2 linked regions of the Nothobranchius furzeri genome follow. The protein of the gene in region 1 binds, or shares a complex with, the protein of each later gene. Links are inferred from orthologs where the notes say so. Each region holds a gene or a part of one and is shown in the gene's direction. Other genes may lie near its edges. The genes, in order: kat6a and brpf1.

What was found.
Region 2: kat6a (region 1) and brpf1 share a complex: the UniProt entries of both Homo sapiens proteins name them as parts of the MOZ/MORF complex. The link is inferred for Nothobranchius furzeri from reciprocal best matches to the Homo sapiens genes KAT6A and BRPF1.

The regions. Positions count from the first base shown.
Region 1 is NC_091757.1:30,182,697-30,185,881, reverse strand, and holds the end of kat6a (histone acetyltransferase KAT6A), read left to right. Parts: coding exon 1-2,448; 3' UTR 2,449-2,674; downstream 2,675-3,185. UniProt on the Homo sapiens protein: Histone acetyltransferase that acetylates lysine residues in histone H3 and histone H4 (in vitro). Component of the MOZ/MORF complex which has a histone H3 acetyltransferase activity. May act as a transcriptional coactivator for RUNX1 and RUNX2.
Region 2 is NC_091755.1:57,355,665-57,360,222, forward strand, and holds the start of brpf1 (peregrin), read left to right. Parts: upstream 1-1,667; 5' UTR 1,668-1,842; intron 1,843-3,195; 5' UTR 3,196-3,240; coding exon 3,241-3,977; intron 3,978-4,133; coding exon 4,134-4,323; intron 4,324-4,410; coding exon 4,411-4,558. UniProt on the Homo sapiens protein: Scaffold subunit of various histone acetyltransferase (HAT) complexes, such as the MOZ/MORF and HBO1 complexes, which have a histone H3 acetyltransferase activity.

The DNA.
Region 1 (3,185 bases):
AAGAGCAACAGCAACAAGACGAGAAAAAGACAAGACTCAGACGATGAAGAGGACGTTGAAGATGAGGACGAGGAGGAGTTCCCCTCACAAGCAAACTCTCCTCCCGTTAAAGAAGAACCCCAAGGTGGAGAGGCTTTTTTAGACATGGAGAACAGCGTGGCCCAGGACTACGTCAGCAAACAGGAAGAGCTAGAAGAGGAGGAGGAGGAGGCTGAGGAGGCCAAGTGTCAGCCCCCTGCTGCTGACCCTCAGCAGGAGGAGAGGAGACGCAGAGAGCAGGAGGAGTCTGCTGCAGCAGCTGCAGCAGTGGAAACTGTCACGGCCATGTCTGTTCCTTCAGAACCCATGCAGCTGCAGCCTCTACACCCAGACGACAAAGATGTCACCATGTTGATGGAGCCCCAACGCCCACAACCACACTCCCACCCTCATCCGCACTCAGACTTCAAGGAGGAGCTGGGACACCATCACCCACATCACCAACATCAGCACTCCAACGAGCTGGACCTGGAGACCATGCAGGCGGTCCAGTCCCTGACGCAGGGGGAAGCCCAGGACGAAGAGGCTGAGCCGCAGCCGCATCACGGCGCTTACCAAGACTGCGAGGAAACCTTGGCTGCCTGCCGCACCCTGCAGAGCTACAGCCATGCAGGAGAGCCAGAAGAGGAGGCGCTCGCTTTAGCGGAGGAGTGTGGCACTGCGCAACACAGCAGCCCCCTCCCTAACGCCCCAGTGCCACCTCTGCCCAGTCAGTCTGTGCACTCCGCTAACAGCCCCGGGATGTCCTCTGGCATTGTGGACGCAACATCAGCAGGACAGAGAGGAGGAACGCCTGGTCCCACAGCATCAGGGGGAGCCAGCAGCACTGCCAGCAGTGGTTACACCCAGATCACACCAGAGCATCCCAGTTCCCTGTCTGCCCCCTCCCAGCAGAACATGGAGACGTCTCCCATGATGGATGTGCCGTCTGTGCCTGACCACTCTCAGCAGGTTGTGGACAGCGGCTTCAGCGACCTCGGCAGCATCGAAAGCACGACAGAAAACTACGACAACCCCAGCAGCTACGACTCCACCATGGGTGGTGGAGGCAACGGAACAGGAAATGGGGGTAATGGAGGAGGGATGTCGGCTGCTGTGGGAGCTCCAGCTCCCACGGCTTCGTCTTCATCGTCCTCTTCCTCCACCTCAGCCACCCCATCCTCTTCCTCTCAGACCAACAGCTGCTCCTTTGTCCAAACTCCCAGCCTCACATCTTCAGCAGGAAACGGGGGTTCCCAGCTGGCCATGGGCAGCTGTAGTCTCATTCAGCAAACAGGACCAGGGCCCAACGGGGGCCCAGCTTCTGGTAATGTGGGCAGTGCTGTGCCCCAGCCTCCACCACCCCCTCCACCCTCCAACACTCCCAGCTGTGGCATCAAGTCCCCTCAGAGCTGCAGCGTCATCGAGAGGCCCCCCAGCACCAACCAGCAGCCGCAGCCACAGTCCCAGAAGAAAGTTCCTCAGCAGCAACAAGCCCCCAACCCTCAGCCCCCACCCACCGCCCCACCACCCCCACAGCAACAGGCTTTGTCCCAGTGCAGCATGGGTAATGGCTTTGCATCCACACCCATGATCATGGAGATGACGGAAAGCGGTAGTGGAGGAGGGGGACGCACCCTCTACGAGCGTATGGGTCAGGACTTTGGTACCACAGGCTACCCCCAGTCCACCGCAACATTCAGCTTGGCCAAACTCCAACAGCTGACCAACACCATCATGGACCCTCATGCCATGCCCTACTCCCACTCTGCCTCCGTGACCTCCTACGCCACCAGCGTTTCCCTGTCCAACCCCGGGCTTGCCCCCTCCCCTCACGCATCTCTTCCTCAGGGCCAGCCAGCTATGACTGGACCTCCTAACCTTAGCTCTGGCTCTATGAACCTTGGTTCGCTGCAGCTGCAGTGCAACATGCCAGCCACCAACATCAGTTTGGGTCCCCCCCACACGCAGCGGCTGCAGACCCAGATGGCTACGGTCAAAGGTCACATCTCCAATCGGTCCAAAGCCACTCAGCAGCTGGCCCCGCACCAGCAGCAGCTCTACGGCCGCAGCTCAGGGGTCGTGGCCATGCAGGGCACGCCGCGCACCTTGACAGTGCAGCGCGGTATGATGCCAAACCTCATGCCCACGCCGGCACCCTACAATTCCATGAACATGACACCTCTGAACGCCATGTCGGCCAGCTACCGGATGCCCCAAACCATGATGAACAGTGGCTATCACAGCAACCCCGCTTACATGAACCAGCCAGCTCAGTATCCCATGCAGATGCAGATGGGCATGATGGGAGGCCAGGGTTATGCCCAACAGGCTATGCAGCCCAATCACCATAGCAACATGATGTACACTGGCCCCTCCCATCACAGCTACGCTGGAGTCCCAAAACAGTCCCCGTACATGAGCAGATGAGCTGGCAGGAGCCGATGTAGGAGACGTGGAGCCAGAGTTAACCCTCGCTGTATTTTAAATGTCCGGTACTCCTCCTACCTCGTCCAGTGCCTAGGCGGGCACCAGGGAGCGTAGGTAAACGGAGATGGAGCGTGTTTGGGTTTCCTGTTTCTCTGTGCAGTAATCATGTCCTGTTTTTATCTGGACTTGCTTCTCCCTCCCCCCTCCAGCTGGCTGTGGTTGGGTTGGGTTGGGTTGGATCCCTACATGGACCCCAGCTGGGCATCAGTCTTCACACTGCTGTAGGAGGTTTCTCCTCTTCACACAGTGGTGGAGAATGGGAGGACATGAATGACCAGGAAAAAACAACTCAAGAAAACCGATCCAGGGAATACCGTGCACTCAGACTGGAACAGAAAATCTGTCTGAATATATCCAACCATGCACACAATCTTTTAACTGATATAGGAAGCCTTATCTTGGAAGAAGAGACGATGAACAGCGTAGCCGGACTGACGTTTCCTTAAACATAATGTTGAATCTTTTTTTTTTTGTTGTCCTTGTTTTTGTTGACTGTTGGTTATTTTTAATACTTGTGTGCAGTCCGACCCTTCCTATGCTTCGGTCTTTATATGTGTGGCATTCTGATAATGGCAATACACCTTCCTGCTCTCAGAATAACCCCCGAGCGTTTGTGAGGCTGCTGGGTCGGACAGCTTTTCACTTATTCCAGACGAGTGTGGGAGCAGGGACTCGTG
Region 2 (4,558 bases), on another chromosome or scaffold:
TTACTACAAACCACCTATCTGACTCTTTCAAAAGTTCTTTCAACTTGGCTAATACTCGGTGCACACTTATGTAAAAGGTTTTGTGCAATCACCCATTAAATTGGATGTTTTTTCCTTTTGTGATTTGTTGTTTTAATGCTGCACTTTACCAAGGTATTACAGTTGTGCATTTTGTTCCCATATGATGGTACAAAATACTAGTTTTCAATGTAGCAAAGAAGTGTTATTGCCTTGCTACAAGATGTGTTGATTATTTTATGAGCTGTTTGTGACGATAGCCTAACCTGTTTTATTTTGCATTTATTTTCAACATTGTATTGTGAAATTAACATGAAACTTGATGTGGGAGATTTGCACAACATATTGTCTCCATTTATTCTGTTGGGAGTTCCTTCACTGTATATAACAGGTTTCACCAAACTGTACTTTTTACCACTGACAAGCATGGCCAATATTTTCATGATCCGCAAAGCATAGGAACAGGAAAAGTGTTAAAAGTTTCAAGATCTCACATCTTCACCACACAAATGATTTCAGCATCCCAGTCCTGCCAAAGCTGTGACCTGTATAGCTTGTAGTATTTGTACATTTTATTTTGACTGTTGGAAGATAGCATTTGTGGAGCCGAGGTCACTTTATTGTATATTATTCCATCAATTCGGTTTGAATTGGACTTTTATAGGATATTATGCAGAGTCTTCTGCTTTGGTGAAATATTTCCAATTGTAAGAGATTTCTGTTCTCTGTAACTTGTATCTGGTATGTTCCACTTTTCCTAGCTGCTAACTGGTTGGAGAGCAGAGGAGGAAATGATGAATACAGGCATATTCATTTGGATGTAGTGATCATACGGAGAGCTGTAATGAGCGGAGGAGGAGCATTTCTGACACTGTTCCTCTGCACACCTCACTCCTTTTTGGAAATCATTGTCCTTATGATTATGCTCTGATTATCTTTGGCTGGTATTTAAACTGTGTGGGTTGCTTTTGCCTGCTTACCCCACTTTGTCCTGCTGCATTCTTATCACAAACTGTATGTTGAGAGAGAGAAATAAATATTTTGTGCTTGATGGTTTTGATTAATTATTGTGTGCACACCATTAGTGTAGCTGTTAGTCAATGCTGTTATAATTTGACAGCAGGAAGTCGTATCTTATTTACCTCTTCGCAGTTTTGATTTCATTGAATAAAACGATTTACACACTTTTTATTTTAAGTAAAGTTTAAACAATAAATTTCTGAGTAAAGGAAGATGATCATCTTTGATGGACAGACTCGTATACAGAATGATACTGGACCAAATTTGGAGTTTAATTTGTAACATTAACTACAACTTGTGTAAGAAAAGACAAATTAAAACTGAAAATTAGAGCCTGTGAATTACTTTCACCAAATCACTAATGAAGTGTAGGCAGACCAGAGAAGCCCTTAGGTTGGATGGTGATTTTGTGGAGCCGCCCACTCTACTTCTAACAACCAATCACGTAGCGTATTCAAATCCAAGCACCAATCAGAGCAGAGAGTTCAGCCCACTGCGTCCCTCCGTCTGATCCAATCTAAAAGCAGTCAAGCAAGCCTGTTTTGCGTGGCGAATGTGTCAATCCGCCTCCACGGCTAAGCGTTACAGTAATGGTTGCCCCTTTTGTTCAGCCGATTTACTAAATTATTCCCCACACAATGAAATTATATGGACGCGAAATTGTTCCATGAAAACGTTTCAATGTACCTATGCTTTCCGTGGCCTCATCTGGGACTATCTAATGAATTAAAATCGATCTGCAAGCCGTCTGAGCTGCTGTCTGAGGTGTCCGATGCGCGCAGTTTGCTTGAGGAACGTGCAGTAGTAAGTGTTTATAACGTTAGTAGCCGGGATATGTAGTGCTATTTACTAAATGGTTGCATTTGCGCATATATTGACATTCGGGAAATGTGAGAAGACACGATTCTGTGGTTGTTGTAATCCACCATAATAGCCCAATGTGTCCAGAAAACAAAGTGACGTTGGTGCAAAATAAGCGCTACAAAAACAAATAGCTGTATAGTGGTGACCTAACGTAAATGGTTCTTAGTTAAATTTGGTCAAAAATACCGTTTTCCTGTGGCAAAGCCTATAAAATAATAATGTTACGCTCTTATTTTGCTACCTTGTGTATGGAATCCACAGGGTGAGGTCAATATGGAGGGAAACGCTGGCTCTGAATAATTAATCAAACTGCAGTCTTTCTAACTTAAAAACATTAATTGGGTCATTTTATTTTCATATCAGTTGTATCAAAATGCGTTGTAGCGCTAACATAACATCTGCCTTTGTTTAGCTAACATTTGAGCACAGCTATAGTTCAACATTATCAACAAAATGGTACACCGGGTTAATATTATTACGGATAAAAGAATCCTCGATAAGAAAAATAATGTTTTGTGGCCTCGTGTTTGTGGAAACCTTGTTATTTGTGCTGTGTAGTTTGAAAAGGGACCAAATGTTGTTTACTAGCAGTTGTTAGCATGCTAGCTAATTGCGCCAGCTACAGTCATTGTTTGGGGGAAGCATGCTAACGTTAGCTGAACTAAAAGCATTATGTTTGAAGAGTTCCCTGCTAGCTAGCTATCATATATCCCTCTCTCTCCCTCTGTCTATTTCTACATTTGCAGTCTTATTTGTTTTATTCGATTACTCCAAACATGACAGAAATTCGTTAGGATGTTGTCTTAAAGTGCACCTGTTAGTGGGTTCATATATTTCCCTCTGGGAATTGTGTTCACATTTTATCCATTTACAGAAATATCCCAACAGCACTGTAGGGACACGTTATTACAAGTTACATGCGTGGAGCAATGCCATTCAAACAAAACTGATCTTACATGAAATTATCGTTAAATACTGTGGGTCATTATTGCATGGAACTATTTAGATTAAAATATTTTCTGTTGTGCTTGTTTTATTTTGTCTAGTGTAAAACCCTTTCCCATAAGTGATTTTTACTCACATTTGTCTCTTCAGCCTGGCAGAGTGAATATTACATTTTTCTCCAAAAGATTTAGTAGAATGAAGAGTTTAAATGCATGTATTTAATACGCAAGTAATTAAATTGTGTAAAAGCAGATAACTACTCTCAGAACTCTTAAGTAATTTTGTAGTTTAAACCCACAGCTTTTAATTTCTTGTCTCCTCATTGTTCCCACTTGTGTTCTATTCCAGATGTAAAGTTAAACCACACCTGGCCCTGAAGAGGCTGCTGGCGAGATGGGACTAGATTTTGATGTGAAGACATTCTGTCACAATCTGCGAGCCACCAAGCCGCCGTATGAGTGCCCTGTGGAGACTTGCCGGAAAGTCTACAGGAGCTTCAGTGGCATTGAGTATCACCTGTACCATTACGACCACGACAATCCAACCCCTGCTCAGGCCATGCCCCAGAAGAAGAGAAAAGGACGGCCTCCTCGTGCCTCCCTGGCTGGCTCAGGGGATACGGATGATGGTGGCGGCAATGGAGGACCTGGTCTTGAAGGGACCACGCCAGGTAGCCCCAACCGGTCAGAGCACTCCCAGTCCCCTGGAAGAGATGCCATGACCTATGCCCAGACGCAGCGCATGGTGGAACTAGAAATCCAGGGACGCATTCACCGCATTAACATCTTTGACGACATTGATGTGGTTTCAGAGGAAGACAGTGATGCAGAGGATGCACCACCGTCGGGAACTGGTAGCTGTGGGGGAGGGGTGTGTAACGGTAGTGACAGTGGAGCCGGAGGCAGCGAAATAGGAGGAAGCGGTAAAGACCGTTCAGAAATTCCGTCCTCAAATGGTGGAAAGGCCACCCCAAAGACTGGGAAGCACAAGAGTAAAGATAAGAAGAAGGATGGTTTATCTCACCATCACAACCCTCAATCTGGTCTTGCAGTCAAGCTCCCAGAAGCCGTGTTCAGAGAGCTGGACCAAGAGAGGCCCGATGCCCCACCCCGGCCTTTATCCTACTACAGGTTTAGGACTAAAATGATTATTTCATTTTATACTTGTTGTTTTGTTTACTTATATGAAAAAGTTCTGTAATATTGTCTTTCTACTGTGTTTTATTAGAAAGCTTCACTTCTCTATTTGACTCCTTTGTCTTTTTGTTATGTAAACTTGGACTTCAGGTATATTGAGAAGTCTGTGGAGGAGCTGGATGAAGAGGTGGAGTATGACATGGATGAGGAGGACTACATCTGGCTCGGCATCATGAATGACAAACGGCGACGTGACAGCGTGACGCCCATCCCTCAGGAGGTCTTTGAATACCTCATGGACCGCTTAGAGAAGGAGTCCTACTTTGAGAGCCACAACAAGGTACCTGTACTTATCTGTAGGGGCAAGAATAGTTCACTCACTGTAACGTAGCTGTTGACTGATGCATTCTGTTACTCCTCCCCTCAGGCAGACCCTAGCACCTTGATTGACGAGGACGCCGTCTGCTGCATCTGTAATGACGGCGAATGCCAGAATAGCAATGTAATTCTGTTTTGTGACATGTGTAACTTGGCCGTGCACCAAGAGTGCTACGGGGTGCCCTACATCCCAGAGG